Pelodiscus sinensis: one gene and its partners. The protein of the gene in region 3 interacts with the protein of the main gene of each other region in a pairwise test. Links are inferred from orthologs where the notes say so. Each region holds a gene or a part of one and is shown on either strand. Other genes may lie near its edges.

Region 1 (7,694 bases), on a different chromosome or scaffold from region 3:
TTCAGAAAAAGGCAAGTGCCCTGGTGGTCACTCCATCCATAGTAATCACAGCTTAAATGCGAGATAGCATCCATTCAGTGTGGACGCTATCTTTTGAAAAAGCACATCACTTTTCGATGCACTTTTGCTGTGTAGACGCTCTCTTTCGGAAGAAGTTTTTTCAGAAGATCGCTTCTGGAAAAGCTTCTTCAGAAAGAAGCCTGCAGTCTAGACATAGCCTGAGTCTTTCCATACTCAGCAAGTTTGCCAATTATAGTTAGGGTTGCCAGGTGTCTGGTAAAAAAAATTCAGAAAATACGGACACCTAAAATGTCCGGTATTTTCTGTTTTTTCCCCCTGCCAGGAGGCAAAAATACCAGACACCTTGCAACCCTACGACACACTCAGCACCTGGGCCCAGCCCCCGTTTCCCCCACCAGGCCCCCTCCCCCCGCTTACCTGGTTCTGCAGAGGCTTGTCTTGTGGCTATAACAGAAAAAACAAAATAGCCACAAGCAAAAAAAGTCTCTTCGTAAAGGGGCCATGCTGATTTTTTTTTTTTTTTCTTAACTGCTGTCAGGGTCTTTTTTTTTTTTTTTTTTTTTTTTTTGATCAACAACTTTGGTCTCCTTTTTTTTCCTCAACAGAATTTTTTTGGGGGGGGAGTGTTCGGTATTTTTGGTTAAACCATCTGGCAACCCTAATTATAGTGGCTCCTCTCTGACTTTTCAGCCACCTTTATATGTAGTGGACACTAGAACTGGACACAGCATTCCAGCAACTGTGGCAAACACAGGGAGATGCTCAATACTGCCCACTTTATACATCCACCTATCACGTCAGCTCTTTGGGTCACAGCATCTACCTGGGAGCTTGTGTTCAGCTAATTAACCACCATGGCTTCTAGTCCTTTTCAGAGTCATGGCATCCCAGGAGAGAGTCCCCATCCTGCACATACATCCTACATTCTTATATCCATATGTAAGGTTGTACTTTTAGGAGCAATTACAATGCATATTGTTTGCTTGCCCCCATTGTTTGCTTGCATCATGTGATCCAGATCGCTCTGTACCAGAGACCTGTCCCCTTACCACTCTCCCATACTCTGTGTCAGCCTCAAAAAAAATTATCCCTATGATACCCTACCAGATACACACTGGCTCAGCGAGGATTCCCCATTTACAATTACATTTTGAGATCAATCAGTTTGCCAGCTTTGAATCCATGTAATGAGGGCCACGTTAATTTTGTTTTTCTCGTTCTTAAATTAAAATACCATGCTGGGCCAAGTAGGGATCTTAGTGTATAACCGAGTAACCGTTCAGCTTATTGGTTGATGGTCTTGGTTACACTCAGCCACCTCCCCGGCAGCTGAGTGGGCAAGGGCTGACCTACGGGGGGGAGGCTTCGCTGTGGCAGGGGCTGGTGTCTCCACTCCCAGGGAGGTTTTGCTGCAGGCTCTGAGATTTTCACAATATACACCAAGGGTAGGCAAATACCAGACCACGGGCCAAATCTGGTCTGCCAGGGTTAGCCCCTGATGGGCCCACACGCTGCCATATTTACCTGTACCTCTGTGGGTGTGAGGCACAGCTCCAATGGAAGCTGTGATCGCTCGTAACTGTGGAGGTGCAGGTAAATACAGCAGCAACGGCCCACCAGGGGCTAATCCTGGTGAACCATCACAATTTTATTGCCCACCTCTGGGTTACACCATTATCCTGTTACATGATGTTTAACACAGCTACCCCTCTGATACTTGACTTGGTCCTAGGAATGTTAGTCTGAATCTGCAAAAGCGGCAAGGAGTCTATAAGGTGCCACAGAACTCCTTGCCGCTTTTCTAGGACCAAGTCCGATGCTTTACAGAAATCTATTACATTAACACTATGATCTTTGTCAACCAAACTAGTAATCTCCTCCAAAAAGTCCACGTTAGTCTGACAAGATCTGTTTTCCATAAACCCATGTTGATCAGCATTAAATATAGTACCCTCCTTTAAGTCTTCATTAATCAATTTTCATATCTGCTGTTCCATTATCTTGCCTGGAAGCAATGTCAGGCTAGCAGCCCTACAATTACACAAATTATCTCCTGTACCCTTTTTAAATATAAGCACATTAGCTTTCTCTTACTTCTCTGGAGCATGCCCAGCATTCTGAAACATACTGAAAAGCAACATTCATGGGCCAGAGAGCTTCTGGGCCAACTCTTTTAAAACTCTTGGATGCAAGTTACTAAGGCTGCTGATTCGAAAATATCAAAATTTGAAAGTTTTGACAGCTACTGTTTAACATTCTCTTTAGTTACTAATGAAATGGAAAAAAAGTCATCATCTTGGCTTTTTTCTAACCATAGAACAGAAATATTTATTTTCTGTACTGCTGTTGTCAAAGCTACCATTTTCATTCAGCAATAGACCAATACTCCTATTAGGACTCCTTTTGTTCTTAGTATACTTTCAAAACCTCCTTAGTATCTTTTTCTCTGCTAGCTAAAGATTCCTCCTTGTGTCTTTGCGTGCTTCCTAGCTTCTAATGTAGAGTCATCTTACCCTTTTCCCCATTTATTATATACTGAGAAGTTATTTTTGTTTGGTTTAGAGGGAAAGTGAAAGCAACTACAAAAAACAGTTTGTTTTCTTAAAGACAGTTCCTGCCCCAAAGAGCTTACAGTCTAAATTTTTTCCTGCCTGTGTCTTTTGGCCATCTAAGTAAATGTTTTTAAACAGTCCCCAATTATCACATGCTTTTCTCTCTTCAAATTCTTACTTCCTGCTGATTTGGCTCCTAAAGACTTTGAGCTTTGTGAAGTTGGCCCCTGTGAAGGGGGTGCACTCACCACCGTAACCCCCCTGCCATCTGTCCTCAGGAATTGGCTCCCTCAGCGGGTAGGGGAAGCAAAATGCAGGACAATGTAGCACTTTAAAGACTAACAGGATGGTTTATTAGATTATGAGCTTTCGTGGGCCAGACCCACTTCCTCAGATCAAATAGTGGAAGAAAGTAGTCACAACCATATATACCAAAGGATACAATTAAAAAAACTAAAAAAGGGTGCCTTCTCTGGGGTGGTGTCTCCCCTCTTTACTCCCGGCTGCGGCATCCTCTTTGCCACACTGCCCTCCAGCAGTGCCCAAGTCTGTCTCTGAGCCCCCCTTCCGGGGGTCGATGTTCCTTCATTGGGCCTTCTTTCAAGCCCTGCAGTCTGAGGATTTGCTGGCCAGAGCTCCCCTAGCCCTGCCTGGCCTCCCCCAGCCCTGCCCTAGCTCCAGGGAGCCTGAGCCACCTCCCTCCCCAGCCAGGTTCTCACTACTCCCCTTTCACAGCAGCAGCCCATCCTCTATTATAGCTCCCAGCTGGGCCCTAATGGACTAGTACAGCCTCAGCTGGGCTAAACTCCCTGGCCCTGGTTCAGGCCGGAGTCTGCCCTTAAAGGGCCAGTGCAGGGCAAGCGCCCTGTCACAGCCCCTTTTAAAGCACCGTGTGTATTTGTATAACTGGTTTGAAGTTTATGCTTGCGTGTACATAAATAACTAAGGTTCTCACACAGAATCATAAAATAATAGAACTGGAAGGGACGTTGAGAGGTCAAGTCCAGTCCCCTGCATTTACAGGTCCAAGCACCATCTAAACCAGGGATGGACAATAACGTGTGAAGGAGAGCCACTTCCCAAATTTCTGAGGGCTGCCCCAGAAGGGGCGAGGCCTCGGGAGGAAGAGGTGGGGCCAGGAGGCTTCCTGTGCAGCTTCACCCACAGACCCTAATTGGCCAGGGTGTGGGGGAGAGCACTGAAGTCTTTCCCCACCTCCCCCCTCCAGCACCTAGGGTACTCTAGACTACAGGCTTTTGTAGACAGAGGCTTTGTCGACAGATAAGGTCAACAAAGCTTCTGTCAACAAAGAGCGTCTAGACTACATCCAATTCTGTCGACAAAGTAAGCTGTTTTGTGGACATGAGAGTGTAGAAACAAAGCACAGTGTAGATGCAATAACGCCTTCTGTTGACAGAACTCTGTCGACAAAAGGCATTATTCCTCGTAGAATGAGGTTTACTGCTGTCGACAAAACTGCCGAGTTCTGTCGACGTTGTGTCTACAGAACTCGGCGGTAGTGTAGATGCAGGTATCATTCTGTCAACAAAAGTCCACCTTTGTCGATAAAACCCTGTAGTCTAGACACACCCCTAGAGAGAAAGCAGCTTGTGATTCCCTCTGATGACTGGGACCCCTGGTGGGGGGAGGAGACTTGACACGGAGGCTGTCTTGCCCACCCCTGATCTAAACCATCCCTGACAGGTGTTTGTCTAACCTGCTCTCAAATATCTCCAAGGATAGAGATTCCGCAGCCTTCCTAGGCAATTGATTCCAGAGCTGAACATGCAGCGAAGCTGCCACTAATTTGTGGTTCACTGTTTAATTTGTTTTTAGCTGCCCAAAGGAGGGCTAAAAGAGAAATCCCCCCTGTGGGAGCCAGCACTTTTGGCGCTAGGAACAGCAGTGGGACATGCTTCTACAAGAGCGCCATGGGTTTTGCAAACCAAGTCATTCCGCAAAATAAAGGCACACGAGCCCCAGGCATTGGCCGGACGCTGTGTGTCCGGGCGCCTTGGCTTGTGCAGGGGTCTGCCTGGGTGATCCGATTGCAGCCGCGAGACCCACGTGCGTCCTCCGAGGGAATCTCGCCGGGATTAAAACCCCCGTCCCCCAGCCCAGGAGCCAGGGGGGGCCACCCAGGCTTTGTGGGGTTCCTCGGCTGCGCAGGTCCCTCCCGGTGCGGCGTGGAGCTGCGGGGAGGGGGGGTAGCGAGGAGAGCCCGGTGGGAACAGCCCTGGGCCAAAAGGCTGTTTGCGCACAGATCACACCCACAAGAGTCACCGCGGACGGAAGTGGGGCTGGGAATGTCTGCATGACTCGCTCGCCCGGCTCCCAGCGCCTCACTCCCTCGCTCCCTCTCGCCCTGCCTGGCGCGCCCCGCTGCAGTCCCCATGGGGAACACGACCTGTGTCCCCCAGCCGGCGGGGCGCTTCCGATACTCCTTCAGCAGGAAGCCTTCCCTGAAGAAAGAGTAAGTACCGGCTCGGGGGGGTGTCTCTGGCCCTGGTTTAAAGCGCCCCTCGGTTCCCCAGCCCGTCTCCGGACAGTCGCGGGGGGCTACACTCGGGCGTAGCCAAATGTGCATTGAACGCGCACGATCTGGCGGGGGGTGGGAGAGCCCGGGGCGAGCTCGGGTTCCTGCCAGGCTCGGAGAAGAGGCGTGGGACGGCTCCGGCGGGCGGCGGCCCCGCGAGGAAGAACAGGGCCGGCGTCTTTCCTTTTCCTTGGGAAAAGTAGAGCTCGTCCCCACGTGGCTCGCCGGGGAACGTGCCGGTGGCTGCTGCTGCTTTGAGCTTGAGCAGGATCAGACAGACCCCAACCCCTCCCTTCCCCCCCGGGATGTCTAGTTGCATCATGTCTCCCAGCCTTGTCACCCTGAAGAGGGGGACGTGCCAGACACTCCAGGAAGTCTCGTCGGGACTTTGGTATTGGTATCAGTGGTACCTGGAAGGCGCACCGATACCAGGGTGATGGGCAGCAGCATAACCCCTGAGAGAAGCAGATCGTTGAGGTTTTCCACGGAGCCGCTAGGAAAGTCCCATGCAAGTATCAGAAGTCTTGCAGCTCTCTGCACCCACCCCTTTGCTAAGTCCCCTGATCCCAGCAACACCATATATTGCTTCCTGCTATGCCCACCCATGTGTGTGTGTGAAGTGGGACCTTCCCCAGGCTGCTGCCTTCCAGGCATGTTTGATCCGGACCATAGCGTGAGCCAGGCCTTTGTGGAGGGCAGTGGTTTTCTTTTAAGTGGTCTGAAGCTGGAGAAAGCATTGTGTTGTTGTATTATCTTGCACCCTGGAGTTCAAGAGAGCATTCCGAAACCCTCAGGGCTCTACAAACCAACAGCCAGGATGTCAGGAGTGTTTCTTGTCTTCTTGACATTGATTATATCAGCAGTAACATAAGGGGGGCAATAAAACGGGCCGGGGTTCCCCAGGGTTAGCCCCTGGTGGGCTGCTGCCACTATATTTACCTGTACCTCCATGGGTATGGGCAATCGCAGCTCCCATTGGCCAGAAACAGTGATCCATGGCCAGTGGGATCTGTGATTCCCCCCCCCCCACACACACACACTTGTGGCAGTGCAGGTAAATATGGTGGTGTGGGGGTCCGCTAGGGGCTAACCCTGGCAGACTGGATCCGGCCCGTGGGCCTGTATTTGCTCACCCCTACTCTAAAGGGAGGCCGTTGCAATGGAGTAAAACAGATGCAAGGGAAAGGAGAATCAGACCCAAGATCACTGGCCCCGAGAAGTGTGCAGCATGCCGGCCCAGATCCTGTGCAGTGCGCCTCCCATAGACCCCACTGAGCTCTAAGGTCACTTGGCTGCTTGCAGGATGAGCTCTTCAGTCCATTGCAAATGACCAGTGTTACAGTGTGGTGCAATGTGGTTTAAAGAGAGAGGAAGCCTTGAAAAAAGCAGCACCCGTGACCTGCCTGGGAAATTGCAGCTGGGGAGCTGCAGCAGTGCGCATTAACACGGGTGTGGGTGTGCGCCCCCAGGCACAGGGATGGAATTTTACTGGGATTCAGAGGACAGCATCAGGAGAGGCACAAGATGGAATAAAATGGAGTGGGTGAGTGCTGGTTTGACACTTCCAGCGCAGGCTCCATCTTTTGCCTGGGGGAGTTGGGAGGCGAGGCTGGAGATGCAGACAGGGCTTGTTGATCATTTTGGTGACGCAAAGGTAAGTAAATAAACCAAAGCCAAGCCAACAAGTGCCATGCAAAGCCATTAACATTCTTGCAGGCTGATTAGCAGCTGTTTATTGGGCTGGGATTATTAGAAGGCCTGTGACAAACTGCTTGCTTGGCTCCCCAGCTTCCTTATTTCTGAGTGGGGGGTTTGCAATGTCCCAGCTTTGATCTCAGCGTGTTTGTTTTCTTTGCAGACAAGACAGCAAGAAAAAGCTGGCCAGCCTCTTTGGTATTGAATCAGGGCATGAGAGAGACATAACGGCAGATAAAATACTGCAGTATATTCCTGGGAGGGTAAGTACAAACCCATCCAGCCATACCCTTGAATGAGGGGAAGTTATTCTTACCTGCAGCGGGGTTCACTTGAATAGGAGCTCCCATGTGTATGAGATGAGCAGGCATTTCTGCACGTGTCCAGGCGAGGGAGATCAGAGGCTGGGGATGGGGGATATTTGTAGGAAGACCAGGGATCAGAAGCAGAGAGCTATCTCCTTCCAGGCAGGCTAGCTCACCACTCCAGTTCTCTAATTCAGCATCCTGTGGGTGGGGATCACGAAGTCCTGTCATCAACTTGAAAATCTGGAATCTGCAGTGCTGGCAGGGAGGTAGGCAGAGCCTCACCTGCTCTTAGGTCGTTTGCTTCTAGGTCGAGTAAGGATGAGGGGAAACTAGGGAGAGCGTACAAAAGAGAGCGATTCATTCCCATGCTGGAATGAGATGGAGCTGCAAATGTATTAGCAATCAGCCACAGGAGGGGGAGAGGTAGGGGCAAGCCTGCCTAAGGCACATCCAAACTTTGCAGATGCATGGCTCATTCCCAGCATTCTCAATGGAAGAAGAGCTTATGTGACTAGCAGTAGTGTTGATTGGTATTATGGTCACATCTACAAGCCACAACCAAAATCAGGACTCTGTTGGACT
Region 2 (7,083 bases), on a different chromosome or scaffold from region 3:
TGATATTTGCTTCTTCATTTTCCATTCGCCCAAGCTGGTAGGGCCTTGGTTGAGTGACAGGCAGCCGCCTCCAGAGCTAACCTGCTCCCTGCCCTGCTCCTCAGCACCCAACCTGGCTCCAGGCGCTGCTAAGAATGCAAAGGGACAGGGCAGAGTTTGGGTTCTAAACCTACTTTACAACTAAAACAAACCCTCATCTTCCTGCTCTGACTGTGGGGGCTGCAGCATGGGGCTGCTTTCACCAGGGCCTGCTCCGTTGCTGCCTGGGTGACTGGCCAGGGCTGGGGGCTGTGTGTGCAGTGCCCTCGAGGCTTCCTGTGTAAGACCCCAACAGGAAAAGCAGGTTCCGCACGAGGCCCTCGAGCCAGATGGAGTCAGAGAAAAGGCCCGTTTAGCTCTGTATTTTCTTTTCCGACAGTGGCTGGTGCCAGATGCGTCAGAGGGAATGTACAGAACAGGGAAATTGTAAGTGATCCACCCTGTTCTCCATTCCCAGCTTCTGGCAGTCAGAGGTTAGGGACACTCAGAGCTTGGAGTTGCATCCCAGGCAATCTTGGCTAATAGCCATGATTTTCCTTTTTGAACTCCGTTAAAGGTTTGGCCTTCACACTATCCCCTGGCAAGGAGTTCCACAGGTTGCCTGTGCCTTGTTTGAAGTACTTCCTTATTTTGTTCTAAGCCTGCTGCCTATTCATATCGTTGGGTGAATAATAATTCCTTATTCACTTTGTCCACACCAGTCATGATTTTATTGATTTCTATCACGTCCCCCTTAGTCCTCTCTTTGCTGAGCTGAACAGTTCCAGTCTTTTTAATCTTCCCCTGGCATGGAAGCTGTCCCAGACCCCCTAATCTTTGTTTGCCACCCTTCTTTATACTGTTCAAATTCTAATCAATCTTTCTCAGATGAGGCAATGGGAACGGCACACTTTATTCAAGGTTGGACTCACAATGGATGCCTGTGTCCTGGGGCTGCTCATCGATTTTCTACCCTGCCTGGCTTCTGCTTTCTAGGCATGAATGTCAACATTCCCTTTCTCCCACTCCCCTCGAAATAGCTGCCTTGACTCCCCCCAACCCAGGCTGACTTCTTACCCAATTCCGCCTTCTCCCTTGTAAATGGGCTTGAGGCTTTCTTGTGAGCTGGTAACATTCCCATGATCATTCTTGCTTTTCTGAGTAAATCCTTCCTCCCAGCTGATTTGGCTCCTCATCCGTTCCAGCCTTTTAAAGCACCAACTGCGTAGATCACGGGGCTGGGCTTCCTGCTGTCTGCAGGCTAACCATGGCCAAGGGGAAAAGGAGGTGAGATCCTGCCCTTCTGAGCCCCTGGGCCCTTCCAGGTTGCTCAGCTCTGCCTTGGGCAGGGAGAAGTTCCTCCAGTCCCGGACTCAGGCATGGGCAGGTCTCATGGCCGCTGGATACTGGAGGATGGGGGACAGGGCTTGGTTTGCCTGCACAGCCAGGTCTGTACCTCCCCCCACAGGCCCAGCGGAGGCCCCTGGATGGTTCACACCGTCCGGCCAGGAGCACGTTGGCCTTTTTTCGCCGCCTCCGAGGGCTCCAATTCAACCGGCAGCTTTTTCCCTCCTGAGAGGTCTGCGAGAGCTCACTGAGCTCCAGTGTTCTGCCAGGGCCTCCTCCGGCCCTCGACGCTCTTCTCAGGGAGCCCCTGCTACACAACCTGTCTTTGCAGGCACAGGCAGCAGAGTCCCCCTCGGTGTGGCAGAGACTGGTCCTGGCAGGAACCACCAGGGCTCCTGGACGTGACCGAGGGACTGGGTAGATCCCAAGTGCTCAGTTGCTGCATGGGGCTCTCCGCCCTTCAGAGCCCCCACACATGCCTCAGAAGGTGCATGTCCCTCTCTCGTTTTTCTACAGCGGGCCCCATGGGAGGGGACGTCCTGCTCCCCCTCACTGCAAGCTCTCCAGCCTTTTTCTTGGGCCCCTGTTCCGCGAGTCCTCTCCCCCCCCCCACACACACCTGGCTTCCTCCCCTTTGCAATCCCAGCCGGCTGTGAGACCTGCACCCACGGACCAAGTGTGCACACGCTCCATTTCCTGACCCTCACGTCCTGGCCCAGCCCCAAGTGGCGGGATTGCTACCCCCTGTGGAGGGTGAGGACCCCCAATGGGCCAGTCTCTAGTCCTCCCTGATTCCACGGTTGGCCAGGGATGTCAGTGGGCAGCTTCTTCACAGAGCCACGAGCACGGGCGTGGACCGGGCACGGTTCAGCCCCATCCCTGAGGCCGGTCCCCTTAGAGGCGTGAGGTAGAAGCTGGCGCCCGCCTACCTCTGGTGCATCAGGTTGCAGCCCCTAATCTGTCTCCTCCTGCTGAGGCTCTGGCTGCATCTTTCCCTGCCCCTCATTACTTCTGCGCCCTCTACGTGTGGCCCCACAAAGCCACAGGGCCTCCTTGCCAAGGCCACCAGCAGCAGCAGCAGGAGGAGGATGCTGCGCAAGGAGGTGCTCAGGGACGGTGGGTCCTGTTTCCACTCCTCCCTAATTTCATGTATCCGGGCGGAGTTCCCCAGGGCAGTGTCCACTGGCTGCCCAGATGACTTCGAGGATCAGTGGGCGTGGCTGGGGTTCCCCCTTCTGGATCCCTCGCTTTGAACCTCTACCCAGCTGCCCTGAACCTGCTTGTCATTAATTGGTCCCTATATTTATTTGGAACATGGGTCCAATGGCCCTGCCCACAGTGCTGGGGGCGGGGCCTATAGAAGAGGGCAGGTGCCCAGGATTTTCCAATAAGGCCCCTGGATACAGGCAGGTGCCACCTGTCCAGGTTTTTTCAGGCTTGTCCCTTTTTGAAGGGGCTAGTTAGATGCACGGTGCAGCCCTTGGGGGGAGGCTCTGTACCCTCTGACCTGCTGTCCCATGGCTTTGGGGGGAGCCTTGCTGTGCGCTGCCCTGTACGTGGGGGCTCAGTACCCACTGCCCCACAGGTGTGGGGGGACTCTGTACCTACTGCCAGGGGGAGGCCCGGGGGGGCTGCCCCATTTGTGGGGGGCTTGGTAGCAGGGATGTTAACATATCTGTGTTTAAACAATAAGCCTGGGGTTACTGGTTAATCCTAACAACTCCACACCCCACCCCTGCTGCCTCCCTGTCAGTGGCAGCAGCACGGGGCCAGGCCGGAGCTGATGCTCACCGGGAGCCAACTTAAAACCTAACGAGTGTGACACACACACCCCCCCCCCCGGTGTAAATGTAACTGCTGGAAATTCTACAGAAAACCACAATCCTTAGCATCCTTGTGGCACCTGCTGCCCATGGGGGTGGGAGGGGCTCGCTGGGCGCTGCCCATGGGTGTGGGGGGCCCTCTAAGTGCTGCCCATGGGTGTGGGGGGGGGCTCGCTGGGCGCTGTCCAGGGGTGTTGGGGGGGGCTCTAAGTGCTGCCCATGGGGGTGGGGGGGGGCTCGCTGGGCGCTGCCCATGGGTGTGGGGGGCCCTCTAAGTGCTGCCCATGGGTGTGGGGGGGGGCTCGCTGGGCGCTGTCCAGGGGTGTGGGGGGGGCTCTAAGTGCTGCCCATGGGTGTGTGTGTGGGGGGCTTGCTGGGCGCTGTTCATGGGGGGGGTTCGCTGGGCGCTGCCCAGAGGTGTGGGGGGGGCTCTAAGTGCTGCCCATGGGTGTGTGGGGGGGGGCTCGCTGGGCGCTGTCCAGGGGTGTGGGGGGGGGCTCTAAGTGCTGCCCATGGGGGTGTGTGGGGGGGGCTTGCTGGGCGCTGTTCATGGGGGGGTTCGCTGGGCGCTGTCCAGGGGTGTGGGGGGGCTCGCTGGGCGCTGTCCAGGGGTGTGGGGGGGCTCGCTGGGCGCTGTCCAGGGGTGTGGGGGGGGCTCTATGTGCTGTCCATGGGGGTGGGGGGGCTCGGTGCTGGCTGCGTTCACTGGCCCTTTAAATCCAGCCCGCTCGCCCCGCCCCCTGCTTGTTTATGTCCCGGCGCAGCCCAACCTGCGCTTCCCTCGCCTGGGCCCGCCCCCTCCGCCCATTGGCCGGAGCCCACCGGCCCCGCTCCCCGATTGGCCGGCCCCGCGCGGCAGGCGAGGCTGTGCGCGCGCGGGGGGGGGGGCGTCAGCTGACTGGCATGGCGCGCGGCTGGGGGCTGCGCTGGGCCGTGGCCGCGCTGTGCCTGGGCTGCGCCGCGGGGCGCGACGGGCCCCCCCCCTCCTCCGCCCCCCCCGCGCCGCCCCCTCCCCACGTGCTGGGCTTCCGGCTGGAGGAGGGGGCCTGGGCGGCGGGGGGGCTGGTCCGCGCGCGCCCCGGGGCCCGCTTCCGCCTGCGGCTCTACGGCACCGGGCTGCGCAACCGCAGCGGGCCCTGGCTGGCCTTCGCGCGCGCCGGCGAGCCCTGCCCGGCGCGCGCCCTGCACGTGCAGCCCGACGAGCGCGCGCCCGGCGCGCCCGCGGCGCTGCTGGTGCGCGTGGCCGTGTCGCCCGCCGGCCCGCCCGGCACCTACCAGCTGTGCAGCCGCGCGGGGCCGGGCCGCCCGTGGGCCCCCGCCGCGCCCGGCGACGCGGTGCTGGTGGGCGACGAGGGGCCGGCGCCCTGGCTGCTGGCCCTGCTGCTGGCCCTGCTGCTGGCGCTGGCCGGGGGGCTGCGGGCCCTGCAGCTCAGCACCCTGTGGCTGGAGCCCGCCGAGCTGGCCGTGCTGCGGGAGTGCGGCTCGCAGGCGGAGCGCCGGGCCGGGGCCGCGCTGCAGCGGGTGCGCCACCGGGGCGCCCTGGCCCTCTGCGCCCTGCTGCTGCTGAGCACCCTGGCCAACGCCGCGCTGGCCGTGCTCATCGGCTGGGCCCTGCGGGCCCTGGCGCCCGCCATCCTGGCCGCGGCCGCCTTGGTCTTCCTGCTGGCCGAGGTGCTGCCCTTTGCCCTCAGCGCACGGTGGGGGCTCTGGCTGGCGTCCCGCGGGCTCTGGCTGACCCAGCTCTGCATGGTGCTCACCTTCCCCATCTCGCTGCCGCTCAGCAAGCTGCTGGAGCTGGCCCTGCGGCACGACGCCAGCACCTGCCTGCTGCGGGAGAAGGTGCTGGACATGGTGCGCAGCAGCGACCCGTACAGCGAGTTCGTGCGCGAGGAGTTCAGCAAGGGCGCCCTGCGCAACAAAACGGTGGAGGACGTGCTGACGCCGCTGGACAAGTGCTTCATGCTGAGCGCCGGCGCCGTGCTGGACTTCCACAGCATGTCCGTCGTCATGCAGAGCGGCTACACCCGCATCCCCGTCTACGAGGGGGAGCGCACCAACCTGGTGGACATGCTCTACGTCAAGGACCTGGCGCTGGTGGACCCTGACGACCGCGTGCCCCTCAGCACCATCATCAAGTTCTACAACCATCCCCTGCACTTTGTCTTCAATGACACCAAGCTGGACGCCGTCCTGGAGGAGTTCAAGCGAGGTAACCGCCCCAGTGCCCCGGGGCCTCTCTGCTCCAGCTCCATGCAAGGGGGTGCTGTCCTGCGGGGGCACCAGGGGGCTCTCTCCTTGCTGGGCTGGGAACTGTTAACCGGTTACCCAGGAAGCATCACCCTTACCAGGAGATACCCAGGAGCGGCCCATGCAGTGCTCAGGTGGCTGGGTACACAGGAGTTAACTCCTTCCACACTGCTGGGCAGCCAACTTCCCATGTTCCCTGGGGGACGCCCAGGGCTGGCCTCTCTCCATGCACCAGCCGGGTGGGTCAGAGCCGGGACCGACTGCTGCCCCCTTCTTTGACTGGGGTCTGCCCCTGCCAGCGATGGCCGGGCAGGTTTGGCCCTGGCTGGCTCCTTGCTGCCGCTCGTGGCAGACGTGCCCTCCCCAAAGCAGGGCAGAGGCTGGGATTCAGTCGGATTTCCCTACCCAGCTATTGTGCCATCTAGTGCCATGCCCGGAGCCCCGCCCTCAGCGCAGTGAGCCCTGTCTCCCACCTGGCCTGGCCAGGCCAGAGCAGCGGGAGGTGAGGGAGTGCTGCTCTGGAAAGGGAGGAATCTGGTGCCTGGACCTGTGGTTAGCGTCTGTGGGATGCCTGCAGCTCCCGTGCTCTGGCTTTGGCCCTTGGGAACATCTTCCCGGTTCGGTGTCTCTTGGCTTCGGGGGGCACAGCTGGGCAGTGGAGTGAGCACGCTCAGCCCTTGGCGGAAGGACTGTGAAAGCGTTAACACAGAGAGCTTTGCTCCCAAGTGGTTCTTGGGCTTCTGAGTTGGCAGAAGCTAACCAAACCACACAGCCCAATTGCCAGCCCTGCTCCGCGGTCCCCCCATCGCCTGCAGGGGCTGGTGGACACCAATCCGCAGCAAGCCCATTCGCGCTGCCCTCCCCTGATTTCAGTCCAGTGCCTCCCTCCCTCCCCATGGGTCCTGGGGAAGGTCACCTTCAAAGCCAGGCTCTTCCCTCCAGAGGCAGGGAGAGCGCTTGGAGGGCCTGCCCCTGCTGCCATGGAAACGTTTGGCAGGGCCAGCTCATGGCCACAGGGATCTGGCGCCTGCCCTGAGCTCCGTGTTCCTCAGGGCCCCTGGAACCGGCTGCTTCCTTCCTGGGCCTGGAGCGGAGCCCAAAGCCCCTGCCGCTCCGTGTGACCGTGGGCCAAGCCAGCCCTGGGCCGAGGGCGAACCAGAGGGTGGGCAGGGCGGGGCCTGCAGGAGGGTAGGTGGCCCCAGTTCAAGCCAGGCTCTGCCGCTGCCCTGCAGTGACCTTTGGTTGGCAAGGCTGGGGGGCCGGCGGTTGGGACTCCTGGGTTCCCTGGGTGGCTCTGGGGGGCCGGCGGTTGGGACTCCCGGGTTCCGTGGGTGGCTCTGGGGGGCTGGCGGTTGGGACTCCTGGGTTCCGTGGGTGGCTCTGGGGGGGCTGGGGGGCTGGCGGTTGGGACTCCTGGGTTCCGTGGGTGGCTCTGGGGGGGCTGGGGGGCTGGCGGTTGGGACTCCCGAGTTCCGTGGGTGGCTCTGGGGGAGATGGGGGGCCGGCGGTTGGGACTCCTGGGTTCCGTGGGTGGCTCTGGGGGGGCTGGGGGGCTGGCGGTTGGGACTCCCGAGTTCCGTGGGTGGCTCTGGGGGAGATGGGGGGCCGGCGGTTGGGACTCCTGGGTTCCCTGGGTGGCTCTGGGGGG
Region 3 (6,844 bases):
ACTGGGACAGCTTTGTTCTCCTTGTGGAGTATCTGTAAAGCCATATTCTTTTCCTGAACAACCTGAAGGGCCTTGTTCTCTTGGAAGCCTATGTTCCTTTCTTGGAAGACTGGGAAAGGATTGTGCTCCTTCTGGAGAACCTGCTGGAGGGTGTCATCATAAATAACCTGGATGGCTTTGTTCTGTGTCCGTAGGCACTGGAGAGCTTTGTTCTCCTCCCGGAGGGCTTTGTTTTCAATCCGAAGGGCCTTGTTCTCCTCCCAGAGTGCTTTGTTCTCCTCCCAGAGAGTCCAGTCTTTCTGCATCTTCTTGCTGAAATGTTTCTGTTGGTAAGCAAAGGGTGGCTGATTGTAGGTCTCACTCACCCATTTGCCATCTACAAAGACAAATGTCTCGTCACTTAGCTTGACACGAGGGGCAATATAATCCATGTCAGGCTCTGCCTGATGCATAAAGTGATTCATTGGATCAAAAGCAAATGTGGGGATGACTTAGCAAAGTGAAGAAGTCTGTGTGAAAAGACTCTCTTCAGAAGTTATGCAGGCAATTGCTGTTCTTGGTGATGAGTAGCTAGTGAGGGGTCTGCAGAGACACTCACTCAGAACTGCTGGAATAGGGAACACAAATAAATAGGATTAGTTATGAAGTTCAAAGACAGAACTAAACTCAATTGGACAAGAAACCAGCAAATAAATCTATTTTCCAAAGTCTATTCTGTGATAAGCCTTCGATTGAATGGATATGTTGGATGAAAATGATTTTACAGACATTAGCTAAACTAAAACAACCTATATCTACTAGCTTTTTTATGTACAATACAGATTCATCCAACACCTCTATCCTCATTTTCTCCTGAAGCTCCTCTGTTGGTGCATTCCTCCCAGTCTGCTTAGTCTTTCTCCTTTCCTCTCCTTCTCTCAGTCTCTCCTTTGCATCTTATAAAAGGTTGTCTCTTCTACTGCCAATCCAAGCAGTCCCTCTCATGGCACCTTCAAAATTCACTAGTAAACCTCATCTTCTTCTACTCTCCAGATCCTGTGTACCTCCTCTTGATGAACTCTGTCTTATCTTATGAGCCCTTTAGAGCAGGGAACATCTCTCATTATAAGTTTGTAAGTCACAGTGTAGGTTTATGTCAATAAAGTGTGATTTTATATCTGTAGCAAGAACTCATTCTGCCCAGCTTAAGGTTTCTTCACCACATTACTTTTCCTTTCATTTCACAGTAGAGCTCTGAATGATACAGATTTCACAAAGAACGTTGTCAAGATTTTCAAAAGTGGGAGTCTAGAAATGGGTAAAACCCTACATAGGCATCTTAATATAAATGGCCTCGTTTTCAGAATTGTTCTGCTCTCACAAATGCCACTGCACACAGTGAGTGCTTGGGCTGCTCAGCACCTCTGAAAACATGGATCACCTATATTTAGGTGCCAGCATGTGGATTTAGGAACCTAATTTTAAACATCCAAAATGTTTAAAAATGTTGGCCTTTTCCAGAAAGTTCTAAAAATCACACGTAGCACACTGAGTTCTCTTTGCACTCAAGAAAAAGAAAACATGCTCATTTTTAACTTTTCAGTGGTCTGTATTGCTGCTTCCAGTGGGAACTGAGATCAGAATAATTGCCTCTGTCAGCAGCAGAACAAGCTTGTCTTTTGAGAATGAGCCCAGAGCATCACTGTGGTCAAGCCGGAGCTGTGGGATTAGTAATGTCTGGCTATTGCAAGCAAATTCTCAGCACAACCTTTCATAATTTTTATTTATGTCTAGGGTAAGTTAAACCCTTTTTAGGGCCAGATATTATTGTAGGCTTTAAAACCTTTTCCTCAGCTAATTCTAACATAATTCTACTAGACTTTACATTACTGTTAACTGAAGCAATATAGTCAAGTGCTTGTGATGATATCTGGGAATGAAAAGATTCCAATAATTTAGCATCTTTCACATAATCTCTTTTATCTCCTTTTCCCCCCATAGGTTTCTCCTTCACTAAGACTATCAACAGTTACCACATAAATTACAGGAATTTCTTTGACTTCTAAGGTTGTTTAATCTTTTTTCTAATAAATGCTTGATTCTAAATCTGTGACTAATGCATGTTTCATTTCTATACATTATTTCTTTTTCTTAATTTTGTATAGGCCTCAGCTTTCTTATTTGACCCCTTGTGTGTATCAGCTAAGAGTTGAGTCTTGGCTTTTTGTCTAATGGATCATTTAATAAGATGATCTCAATATCAGAGGAAAGATAGGGGGTTGAATTCTGACTAATTTTCGATAGCGTAGCATAAACACATTACCAAAGATCAGAGTGGATTCCCCATTGCTGATGCTTTTTAAATCAAGATTGGATATTTTTCTAAAAGATCTATTCCAGGAATTATCTAGGGAAAATTCCATGGCCTGAGTTATACTGGCGGGCATCTTAGATTATTACAGTTGTCCATTCTGGCTTTGGGATCTAAGAATCTATGAATCTTCTGTATATACTAAATGTCCGTGTCAAATTTACTGCTATTATCTCTGTGTCTCTCTGTCTCACTGATTCTCCATCTCTTTTCAAATCTCATTTAACATGGGATTGAATTATTACTGGGTTACTCCAGTTTTACACTGATTTCCATGGTATTACATCAATGTAAAACCTGAATAATGTCAAGTGGTGAACCATACCCATCTTTTCTCCCTTGCAGAAGCCTTTTAATTTCTCTTAATCTCAGTTATCATTTTCTTTCAGATCTGTATTAAACAGTCCTTATGCAGTTTGGGGCTACAATTACATGAGCAAAGCTAGCTAAAAATCAAGTTGACTAGTATTCTACAGTAATAGTGGGTACATCTGCTCACCTCTGTTTAAAATATAATTCTAGTGATGTCCTGTTTCTTTTGTCTTTATCTTCTCCAAACTCTCAGCTGGTTTATAACTGTAGTGTATCCAATGCTGAGGCCAAATGCCAGAAGCTGCCTCGATCTCTCCCTGCTCAAAACTGATTTTCAGCATGGCCAGAGACAGGACCATGCTTTTCAAACTGAGGCATGTAACAAGAAAGCCCCTTTATGACATAGACAGTATCTAAGTACATCCAGAGTAACAGTGTAATTGATGTAAATGAAAGGCATCTGCTCCCCAGGCCTGTTAAACTTCAGTAGGCTCTCAAGTGTTTCTCATCAAAGGTTTCCTATTATTATATTCTCATGACTTAGCCTCCACTGTTCCCACTATAATCTCTGAAGACTATCTGGGGTTTTTTCAGATCCCTAAGTCACATGTGAATAGAAGTTACTTCTTTTTCCTTATAACAAATCAAGTAGAGAATTCTCAAGCTCCTTCCCAAACCACGTTCTTCTTTTGCCTTCTCTCCTCATGTATGATCTTAGGGGCAGTTAAAATGAATTATTTTCCCAGTACTGTACTTTCTTTTTATAGAACATGATTTGCTCCATCCCCGATATTCAGACTAAGACCACTACTGAATTGACACTAAAGGTAACAAAACACCTCCCTTTTATCCAGTACGAGGCCTGGAGTAATTTTCCAGAATTAACTTTGAGGTTGGTGTTTTTCTTTGACTCCAAATTAAAAGAACTAGGACATTGTCAATTCTTGTTAACAAGAAAATAGACTGCTGAGAGTATCTGGGCATTACACCCAATGCCATTATCCAAAGCAGTTATTTGCACTTCCACATCTTTCCATTTTTAATTCTCTCTTATTATTTCTTATTTGCTGCATCTTTAAAAGTAGAATTAAGTGTTTTCTAATTTGAGTGTTCCTAAGTCGCAAACACTACAGTTAATTTCTTTCCAAGTGAAAACTTGGCCTTAGCCCTAATGTGGTTGTTCATGTTTTAGAAAAATTGTAGGTAAACAGTTCAGCAATTTTTGAATTATGGAAGGATGATAAACTTTGGCATACAAATTCTCACTGTAATTTCTTCCCATTTCTATTTAATCTCAGACAACACTAAAGCATCACTAATCACTATGGCAACTTCCTGAAGAGCATTCTGTTTACTTTCTTATTCAAGTATTCTACAGTGAAGAGCAGGAAAATCAGTTTCTTGAAGAGAGTTTGTCCTTTGACAGAAGGGGGTGGTTGAAGTTTACTTACTGGTTGTAGGGAGCTTTAGGAAAGATGACCGTTGAATTGGGTGATCCTTCTCAATGCCTGGAGAATCAAGGGTGTACAATATACTAAAGCAGAAAAGCGTTAGGGCTCATACTAGAGCCAAAGTTAGTGAAGATAAGAACAATCCAGTAACAAGTACTGATCAAAAGAGAAAAACCTGATTCTTTTGAATTCATAATTACTGCTAGGGTTAAAGTTTTGTTGTGTTTTATGTTTTTCTTTTCTTAATTTTTCTGCATATTTTCCTGCCTTTATTCCTAACTATACAACCTGGTGTGAATGAATCACCTTTCTATATGCTACTCTAGAATTTAAGACTTGAGCATACCTGATCTTAAGTCAATAGAAAAACTAAAACACACTTCAAAGGGCTTTTTATCAGCTCCAGAATTGGTTAATTGGGGGGAGGTACAGCAAGGTATTTGTAGCCTATTTTGTCTATGTTCCTGGCACACTGATTGATCAGAAGGAGTTACAGGGGATATCAAGGAATTCCTTCTGCTCTGAAAAGGACACAAGTGAATTGGGATAGCAGTGTACAAATTAGGGCTGTCAGCAATTAACACAAAACAAATTAATCACAATTTAAAAAATTAATCAAGATGAATTACAGTTTTGATCACGCTGTTAGTACTAATTGTTGTTACCTTTTCTTGAATATCCCATCCTTTCACAACATCCAAAAAATGCCCTATGAATGTTTCAGCATAATGTTTCTCTTCAGAATGCGTTACTGTTAAAGCAAATGGCTGCACTGTCCAGGTAGTATCAACCAGGTGTGCTAGGATTCCAAGAGAGCTGTGATTGCTCAAGGATGCCCAGTGATCACCAGTCAAAGCAACAGCTAGTACATTTTTCAGAAGCTCCAACTTTGTACTCTTCTCATTGTGACATAGATCATACATTCATGGTTCAATGTTTCCTGGAGAAGGCAAGGGTATGTCGAATTAGCAGATGCAATTTGGATAGTACCTCTTAGACCTCAGTCATTTTCCATGGTAAGTGCTCTGTAGTTCATAGTTACCCATTTTTCAATAGCACTGGTTAAGCTGTTGTACTTTGATCCATGGGCTTGTACCCATTCTGAAACTCTGTAAGCATATTCTTCCATGGCTGGCAAGCTTCATTTGCTGTCACTGGGTTATGTGTAGCATATGAACTGGAGGTGAAAGCTTGTGTAGTGTGTAAAAGGTACTGCAGACTTGAAGTACATCAATGTTATTGGAATTTAGCCTTGAAAAAATTGTAGCTATTTTTTTAAATCACTTCACAGCCCTACTTATCAAGCTCAGTTTTGAAACAAGGTTTTTTGTCCCTATTGCTCTTCTTGGAAGGCTGTTGTGAAAGGACCTTCCCTTTTGTCCCATGGCAGCTATTCTGCTTAAGAGCCTTTGGTGAGGGACCTCGTCAAAGGCTTTCTGAAAATCTAAGAACACTATATCCACTGGATCCCCTTTATCCACATGCTTGTTGAGCCCCTGAAAGAATTCTAATAGCTTGGTGAGGCATGATTTTCCTTTACAAAAAACATATTGAATTTTCCCTACCAAGTATAAATTAAGTGCATCTATATAGCTGATAATTTTGTTCTGTACTATAGTTTCAACTGGTTTGCCCAGTATTGAAGTCAGACTTATCGGACTCTAATTGCTGGGATCACCTCTGTAGTGATCCTCCTGTCATTTGGCACAGAAGCTGATTTAAAGGATAGGTTACAAACCACAGTGAGTAATTCTGCAATTTCATATTTGAGTTCCTCTAGAACTCTTGAGTGAATATCATCTGGTTCTGATGACTTATTACTGTTATTTTATCAGTTTGTTCCAAAATCCTTTCTAAAGGAACAGTTCCTCAGATTTGCCACCTAAAAGGAATGGCTCAGGTTTGGAAATCTCTCTCACACCCTCAGTTATGAAAACCAATGCAAATAATTCATGTAGTTTCTCTGTAATGATTTTTATCATGCTTGAGTGCTCTGTTATCATCTCGATTGTCCAGTGGTTCCACTGGTTGTTTAGCAGGCTTCCTGCTTCTGATGTACTTAACAATTTTTTTTGTATTACTTTTTGAGTCTTTGACTAGCTGTTCTTCAAATTCTTTTTTGGCCTTCCTATTTATTTATATTCCTACACTTCATTTGCCTGAGTTTATGTTCCTTTCTATTTCTCTCACTAAGATTTAACTTCCATTTTTTAAAGAATGCATTTTTATCTCTCACTGTTTCTTTTACTTTCTTTAATTTAGCCCTGGTAGTATTTTTTTGGTTATCATACTACAATTTTTAATTTGGGTATATATTTAAGTTGGGTTTCTATTATGATATCTTTTAAAAGTTTCCATGCTTCTTGCTGAGATTTCACTTTTGGCACCGTACCTTTTAATTTCTATTCTACTAACTTCCTCATTTTTATCTAGCCCCCTTTCTGACATTAAAATGTACAGTGTCGGGTTGCTGGAGTGTTTTCCTCACCACAAGGATGTTCAATGTAAGTAAATTATGGTCGCTATTTTTACCAAGCAGTCTAGCTATATTCACCTCTTGGACTAGATCCTATGATCCACTTAGGAATAAATCAAGAGTTGTCTTTCCTCTTGTGGGTTCCAGGACTAGCTACTCTAACAAACAGTCATTTAAGATGTCAAGAAACTGTCTCTACATCCTGTCCTGAGGTGACCTGTACCCAGTCAATAAGGGGACATTGAAATCCTCCAT
Region 4 (7,737 bases), on a different chromosome or scaffold from region 3:
GGAATTTCTTACTATTCTTCTTCTTAAGTGTCTTTCATTCTAATTTCCTCCTTCCCTTCACCCTCATCCCCATTAGTTCCTTTTATATCACCATTCACGAGAGCTCCTGGAATGAGGGCTGTTGAGAACTGTCTGGATAATCAATGGTTCTAGTTTCACTTCCTTACACCACCATCATTCCAGCCCTGAGCTCCTTACATTTAACGAGTCCATCTGCAATACTTGAAAGAATCCAAATACTCCCATTAGCAAACCCTCTTTAGATCTCAGTCTTTCCTTATAGCTCACCTGCTTCCCTTACTTCTACAGCAGAGCCAGCATCCCGCTGTTAACCCGTCAATCAGATTTAAACAGATATGGGTTGGCAGGCACCCTTTGGCAGAAAGTTAAGAGAGATTAAGATGTTGCCTAGTTTATTATTATTATTGGAGGACTTTCATGCTGAAAGTAAAAAGCTGACCTTTTCCCCCTCAAGTCAAACAAAATTTGCACTGCAACCATTTAAGTTTCATGGATCAACCATTGTGGCTTACCCACAAAAATGAAATCAGAGGGAAATACAGACCCTATCACATGAGCCAGACTGGAAAAGAATTAACCTTGCTTAACTCTAATGTTATTATTTAGCCCCATGTATCAGGATGCAGATGTGAGAGAGGGGTTTTTTTTTTTTTGTTACTAAACATTTTGTATCATTTATTTAAAATGTAGTGCAAGTTCTCTCCCCTCATTCACAGGTTTACTTTTGACTGCTGGAACATTACAGCCCATTACCATCACTGGATCAGTTTATTTCAGAGGGCTCTGACAAAACTGTGGAATAGTATAAAAGCTTCTAAGTCCACAGATGCAACAACAGAGCATTCAGCTCCCTCCCCACAAGCTGGAGTGTGCATTTAACCTTCTAGCTGTTACAGATGTGACCCCCTCCCACAACAAGTAGGCACACAAGCAGGGATATGATTTTTCCTCATGCCTCAACTCACTCCATTAAAGCTTGTGTGACGCTGGCTCTTACCTGGCAAAGGCAGTTACTCCAAAATTGAGTGGGAAAGGGTGCTTCTGATATTTGCCTTTCCAAATTAACCCCCCCCCCCCATTCCTCAGGAAGAGAAGTTTGATATTTATACAAACATAGCATTCACTACAACACTACCAACTGTAAGGCTTTTCAGTTTGCAATTAACTAAAGTTGGCATGACGGGTGACAAGCCAATGCCACCTGACTTTGTGGCAAGTGACACAGTTATATGCAGCAAGACGGCATGACGTTCTGAAGTGGTGATAGGACTTTGATCATGATGACCAACAACATAATCACCCATCAGTCTCCGCAAAAGACAGCAACCTCTGTAATGCTCCTATTCCCATACACATATATGACTGGCATAGCTTGGTTAGAGATGAGAGGGCTGGAAAGTGATAGCAACAGATAAAGGAGAAGAATTAAGAATTAGTTGTGTTACCTAATATGGGCTTGGAGGAATGGACCATTTTCTGAGCAGCATGGACTTCTTTCCCCAAGTATTGTCTATGCCAATGAAAAGCATATAAAATGACCTTTGACCCAGCAGCCACCCACATGCCAATCCCCAAAGCAAAGGCCACTATTCAAAAACACAGTTGTAGACAAAAATGACCATAAAATACCGCCAGAATCAGTGAAGTCCAGGTATATACATATTAGTTTCTGACAGGCAATGGTGCTGGCTGTGACACAGTCTTTTCAATTATGAAGAAAATGACAAGACTAGAAGGGTCTTAAAAGAGTTTTAAAAAGTCAGTATGATGAGCACGTATTGGGAAAACTGGGAAAGGCCATCACCATGCACAGCAGTAGGTGACCACACTTTCACTACTCGTTGGTGTTTTGTAGATAGATTTGAAATATCTGGGGGGTGAGAGTAGAAATGAAAAGGCCTCAGTAGGATAACCCTGGCAAAAGTTTTGCAGTGTTGTTACAGGATGCCTGTATGGATTGTTTCACTCAGAACCACCACCCCAGCCGTGCACAGCAAATAACCTTTGACAGCCAACTCTGACAGCTAAGAAGTGCAGGCTGGCAGAGGTGGGAGTTATCCTCTCCTTTCACCCCAGCCCCACATTACAAAAACTTCCAGCAGCATCTTATTTCTCACTGGATGTATTTCTCATCTTATTTCTCACTTCTTTAGGATGCAGGAGGCTATTGTGGTGAGTTACCAGTTTCCTTTTTTCTTCAGCCCTTCTTAATACTTTACACGTCAGAATTAATTTCCCTTTCAATTAGCTAACTTAGTCTTTAACTCTGGCCTGCTTCCCCGCTCCCAAGTGGGGCCACATGAATGTCTAGCAAGTCCTGACAATAAGCACATGGTTGAGCCAAAGTTGCCTGCAGTCAGCTCTCTCTCATCGCCACATCCACACATCCCCCTTCTTCCCAGCCTCTTTTAAAAAGTAAATCCTTTCCCACAAGAAGCCGAGGCGCCCTTTGTGAGGCAGTTTAGCAAAGCTGTGAGCTCTTAGGCATTAATAGCGGGTTTAGAGCCGAGGAGGGAGCTGGGGAGGGGTGGGATAGGCGAGAGGGTAAACACGACAATAGGAGGGGACAACAGTCGCCGCGCGGGGAGAAGAGACCACACTGAGGCTGATGGAGTTAGAGGGGCAGAGAAGCGAACCCAGACCAGCAAGCTCCAGGGAGGCGAGCACAGCGCTGGCTGAAGAGACCGCGCTCCGCGTGCCAGGGGCAGCGAACGCCCTGCACCGCACGATGGAGTTTAGCAGCGCAGGCAGGCAGGCGAGCCCGGACCGCCCTGCGCGCGCACCCCAGCGTGCTCCGCTGCGCACGGCATCCGCGACAGGCACTTGCAGCAATGCCCCCGTCTCCGCCGGCCGCGCGCGCGGCCTCTCCGGCCGCGCGCCAAAGGAGCCGGGGCGGGCCCGACCCTCCGGCGTCCCACCTACCGTCCTCCTTGTCCAGCACCATGGTTCTGGGGCTCGCGGGAAACAGCTGCCTCCGCCGCTGGCGTCCGCTCACCCTCCAGCCGCCGCTCCTGTGCGCCAGAGAGGGGAAGGGACGGGGCGCCCGAGAGGGCTTGCAAAGCGCTGCCCGGCGGCACGCGCACCCGGGCCGTCCTCCCTGGGTCTGCTCCCCACCCCAGCCGGCGAGCGGCGGCTGCACGACTTCTAGCCTCGCTTGCGCCGGGCTCGGCTGGGGCGCTCCGCTAGTGCCAAGGCAAGCGCTCAGCCCCTGCCCTCCCGCCACGACTCACAGGCCCGTGCGGAGAGGAGCGCAAGAATTCTGGAAAGATAAAGGAGACCAAATCCAGGGCCGGTTCTCCAGCGCCTTCCCAAGGTGCACAGCCAAAAAATTGGTTTGAATGGAATTGCATATGATAGCTCACAAGCACCCCCCCCCCTCCTCCTTTCTGCTGTTGCTACTGCCGAGCTTCCCAGGCTTCCGAAGTGCTTTTCTCTTTATTTCACTCTAAAGCTAAAATTATATTCAAAGGAAGGGAGGTAGGGGGAGGAAAAATGCGAACCTATCACTGAACGCAAAAGCACTTGCTGCCTGCCTCTCTCAATTTATGTGCTTTGCACTCTCTCTTGCTGCTGAATAAATGCGCACATTTCCCAGGGACCCTCAGATTCCCCTGTTAATTAAATCAATTCATTATGCTCAGATCTGATTAGCAGCCTCTTCCCCCCCTCTTTGAATCAATTATTCAATACACAAACATAATTGCCTGTGCCAGAGGTGTCTAAGTATTAGCTTATTTAACTCCAAGGACACTAATTACCCCTAGGGCAAGGGAACTTTTCTCATTAATTCTGACAAAACACAAAAGCACAGTTAAAGTGTGTGTGTGTGTGTGTATATACGTGTGAGAGAAAATGCAGGAGTCTATAGCAAAGGAAAAGAGGCATTGCTTTAACACACGTGTTACTGTATAAATAAGATCAATTTTCTTTCTACTTCTCACAGATTATTCCCCACATCTCCCCCTGGCTAAACTTTTTAAAAGTAAAGTACAGAACTGCATAGCAATGAATGTAGGTGGCATCACTAGCTTGAAAAGTGTTTTCAGCTACACACACACACACAAAAAGATAAAGAGTTGATGGGGGAAGGGAGAGCAAAACAGAATTTGCAAACTATTTTGTTTACTATGGCAAAAAACTGATAAAACTGTGTAGCAGTCAATTTTCTGTATTTTAAAAAGCTGTGAAAGAAGTAGTCCTATGAAAACAGCAGATAAGATGGCAAATAATGTACCATGTATTGGTAACAGTTCTGAATTGTTTACAATCTGAATTAATGTCAATGCCTACTATTAATGTACTTGCTTCCTATGTTTACCATAATGGGCTTGATTTCCATTAGTTGAAACTGGAACATCATTCATTAGCATTTCCATTAGTTGAAACGGGAACTTGCAGGTTACCCACATTTTAATTCCATGTGAACTTCCATTAAAAAGCATTTATTGATTTCCCCCCAAAATTGGTTTTTACTTACCAAAGACCCTTATTGTTAGTGTCCTCAATCTGCACAGGGGTATTGAAGATTTTGTTTCCCCAGGCAATACATGAGCTGATTCATTATTCCCCTTGCCTATCTAAATCTATCAGGAAACTAATATTAGTTCTGCTCATATACTAAGCTTTATTTCATTTCCCCCCACTGTCTTGATTTTAATTTTTTTTAATCAGGACGGTTTCTGTTGGTGAGACACACAATTTTTGTGATATCTGGAAATTTTTTTAAAATGCCAAAAGATTTGTCTCCTGGGATTTCCTCCCACTTCCACATTACCACATTTCTCATGTTGGGGCTGCCATGATTAGAGTCGTTCATTTGACAACGCTACTCATTATCTTTAAAGCACACATTGTACGTGTCAAATAAAGCCAAGAAGAAAACCTGTTACATTTATTGCTAAGCAAGTTTAACCAAAGTTACTTGCAAATACAACTTACAATATAATATTGTGTTCCATTAGTGCAGTACTTTTTTCTATGAGTATAATGATTTAAAAAAAGCCTGCAGCTTTATAACACAACAAACTCTGTTAATTTTCTGATATTTAATTTCCAGTGTATGGCATATATTGTACCCACATGAAGTTGATCTGTCTAACTTAATGAATCTTTTTGGAAACAACACAAGAAATCTCAAACTTGGAGAAACCTTTAGCTATGTTCATGAACCGCTAATATATATTACATTTTAAAGGCCCAAATGTGCTTCTGCTGTAATCAATTGAAACTTTAACTGCAATGGTAGTAGGATCAAGACCTAAGTATGCAACTTTTTCATTTTACTCTGAGCTTTTTGGAGGTACCAGAGTTTTGTTGAAGGATACTCTTACCAAAGAGGCGTATGTTTGGATACGCTAAGCTGCAGGACACTATGGAAGATGCAAAGGGAGAAGCAGCCAGAAACTGAGTAAAGGGTCTAAACTGTGAAATGAATATTGATTTTGGTATCACGTCTCTAGAAGTGATGTTCACAGTTGAATTCAGGAAGATCGTGGTGTCTGGGGATGAGAAAGAGAAGAAGAGGCAACGGACAAATTGAAGTGAGGTCTCTCAGCCAAAGCCAAGCTATTATAAAACATAAAACATGAAATAATTCTCCATGCAAACATTTTACAGTTTAAATGATACGCACTGATCCCTATCTTTACATTTATGCAGGCTTAATAAAGATCCTAGGATTAACCACTATGTAAAAAGTCTCCACTTCAGAGAAATGCTTTCTACAATATAGTGGCGCATTGCCCTGTGTGCCTTTTACAAATATATTCAGATAATCCATTCAGAAAAGGAAGCATTTGAGTACTTACGCGAATGTCTGGAGTCTAAAAACACTAGACAGGAAATACCATGAGAATGGCCTTCCTTAAGAATTTTCCCATACTAATAAATAAAATGAAATAAATAATACAATATACTACTACTACTATTAAGTAGTGTTGCCATAGCCCCAGTTTACCTGGTACTATATAAATGCACAGTTAGAGTTCCTGTTCAAAGAATTTTCATTCAAAATAGAACAAAGTGTATGAAGAGAAACAGGTTCCGAGATGTGAAAGTGACTTCCCCAAAGTCACACTGTAGGCCAGTGGGAGAGCTGGAAATATGAACCACGTCTCCTGACTCCCAGCCCAATGCTGTAGCACTAGTCTGCATTGCATGCATGCTCAGAACAAGACTAGACATGATTAATATGCCACTCAAGGCTTTATGCACTATTGTTCATATTATGATAGCACCTACAGTGGCTAGGGTCCATTGTGGTGCAGGCTAAACAAAACCACATGTAACAGACAGTCCCTTCATTGAAGTGCTTGCAGTGTAGATAGAAAAAAAAAACCAGACAAAGAGAATGAGGGAAAAGAGAAGTACAGAAAGTTGGAGTGACTTGCCTGGGATCACACATCAGCTGAATTGTAAGCCAAGAGTGAAATCCAGATTTCCTGTGTCTCAAATCAATTCCCAGTTGAATAGATTGCAGTTGCCTTTCTTCTTTTGCTTTGGCCACAAGTAGCAGAAAAGGAAAAGCCTAAAAAATGATGGAGTATAGCAGATGAAGATTTCCTGGGGAGTGAACTTGTGTTGTATCCCAGTCAATGGAAAGACCTCCACAAGTTTTCCTGTGCTTGAATGAGGCAGAGACCCAGTAGAGGAAAAAGTATACAAGTATGCAATTAACTATCATATCATAATGCATACTCAAAGTGGCAGAATTAGATTTCATTAGCCATCTTAATTTTGGCATTTGCTAATGTTTGAGTGCCTGAGTTGTCAACATTATGTGGTGTTGTTTTAACAATTTTTAAATGTAATTTCCTAGGTTTCAACTGCACAGAACAGATTCCTAGCTCATCTGAAGAAGTGGGTTTTGCCCACAAAATGATTTTATACACACACACACACATACACACTTGTTAGTCTCCAAGGTGCAACAGGACTACTCATTTTTAAAGTTACAGACTAACACAGCTACCCTCTGAGACTTCCTTGTACTTGAGTTAGATTTAGCTGATTATTCCTGAAGTGGCATTGTTGAGTGAAACAAAATACAGGACTATGTAGCACTTTAAAGACTAACAGGATGGTTTATTAGATGATGAGCTTTCGTGGGCCAGACCCACTTCCTCAGATCAAATAGTGGAAGAAAATTGTCACGACCATATATACCAAAGGATACAATTAAAAAATGAACACATATGAAAAGGACAAATCAAATTTCAGAACAGAAGGGGGTGGGGGGGAGGTAAATGTCTGTGAGCTACTGATATTAGAGGTGATAATTTGGGGAAGCTATCTTTGTAATGGGTAAGATAACTAGATCCTTTGTTCAGACTCAGGTGTAAAGTGTCGAATTTTAGCATGAATAACAGTTCAGAGGATTCTCTTTCAAGTGCAGTCTTAAAAGGCTTTTGAAGCAGGATGCAGGTAATTAAGTCGTTGAGACAATGTCCTTTCTGGTTGAAATGGCAAGAAACTGTTTTTTCTTTGTGATCCTGTCTAATATCTGTTTTGTGGGCATTGATCCTTTGGCAAAGTGTCTGATACATTTGTCCAATGTACATAGCAGACGGACACTTTTGGCACGATAGCATAAATTATATTTCTGGATGCGCAGGAATATGTGTTCTTGATCTTATAACTCACTTGGTTAGGTCCAATAATGGTATCAGCAGAGTGAATATGTGGACAAAGCTGGCAATGGGGTTTGTTGCAAGGGAA

The links.
Region 1: the proteins of CBY2 (region 3) and PLEKHN1 interact in binary tests that used the Homo sapiens proteins (3 or more experiments, as listed by UniProt). The two-hybrid records come from large-scale screens. The link is inferred for Pelodiscus sinensis from reciprocal best matches to the Homo sapiens genes CBY2 and PLEKHN1.
Region 2: the proteins of CBY2 (region 3) and CNNM3 interact in binary tests that used the Homo sapiens proteins (3 or more experiments, as listed by UniProt). The two-hybrid records come from large-scale screens. The link is inferred for Pelodiscus sinensis from reciprocal best matches to the Homo sapiens genes CBY2 and CNNM3.
Region 4: the proteins of CBY2 (region 3) and LMO1 interact in binary tests that used the Homo sapiens proteins (3 or more experiments, as listed by UniProt). The two-hybrid records come from large-scale screens. The link is inferred for Pelodiscus sinensis from reciprocal best matches to the Homo sapiens genes CBY2 and LMO1.

What each region holds. Positions count from the first base shown.
Region 1 is NC_134733.1:14,660,624-14,668,317, forward strand, and holds the start of PLEKHN1 (pleckstrin homology domain-containing family N member 1), read left to right. Parts: upstream 1-4,681; 5' UTR 4,682-4,966; coding exon 4,967-5,046; intron 5,047-6,967; coding exon 6,968-7,067; intron 7,068-7,694. UniProt on the Homo sapiens protein: Controls the stability of the leptin mRNA harboring an AU-rich element (ARE) in its 3' UTR, in cooperation with the RNA stabilizer ELAVL1.
Region 2 is NC_134738.1:5,725,319-5,732,401, reverse strand, and holds the start of CNNM3 (metal transporter CNNM3), read left to right. Parts: upstream 1-4,076; 5' UTR 4,077-4,091; coding exon 4,092-5,397; intron 5,398-7,083. UniProt on the Homo sapiens protein: Probable metal transporter.
Region 3 is NC_134711.1:287,239,822-287,246,665, reverse strand, and holds the start of CBY2 (protein chibby homolog 2), read right to left. Parts: upstream 3,018-6,844; 5' UTR 2,850-3,017; intron 608-2,849; exon of another isoform or gene 605-607; 5' UTR 465-604; coding exon 1-464.
Region 4 is NC_134714.1:108,227,190-108,234,926, reverse strand, and holds the start of LMO1 (rhombotin-1), read right to left. Parts: upstream 3,004-7,737; 5' UTR 2,966-3,003; coding exon of another isoform or gene 2,944-2,965; intron 1-2,943. UniProt on the Homo sapiens protein: May be involved in gene regulation within neural lineage cells potentially by direct DNA binding or by binding to other transcription factors.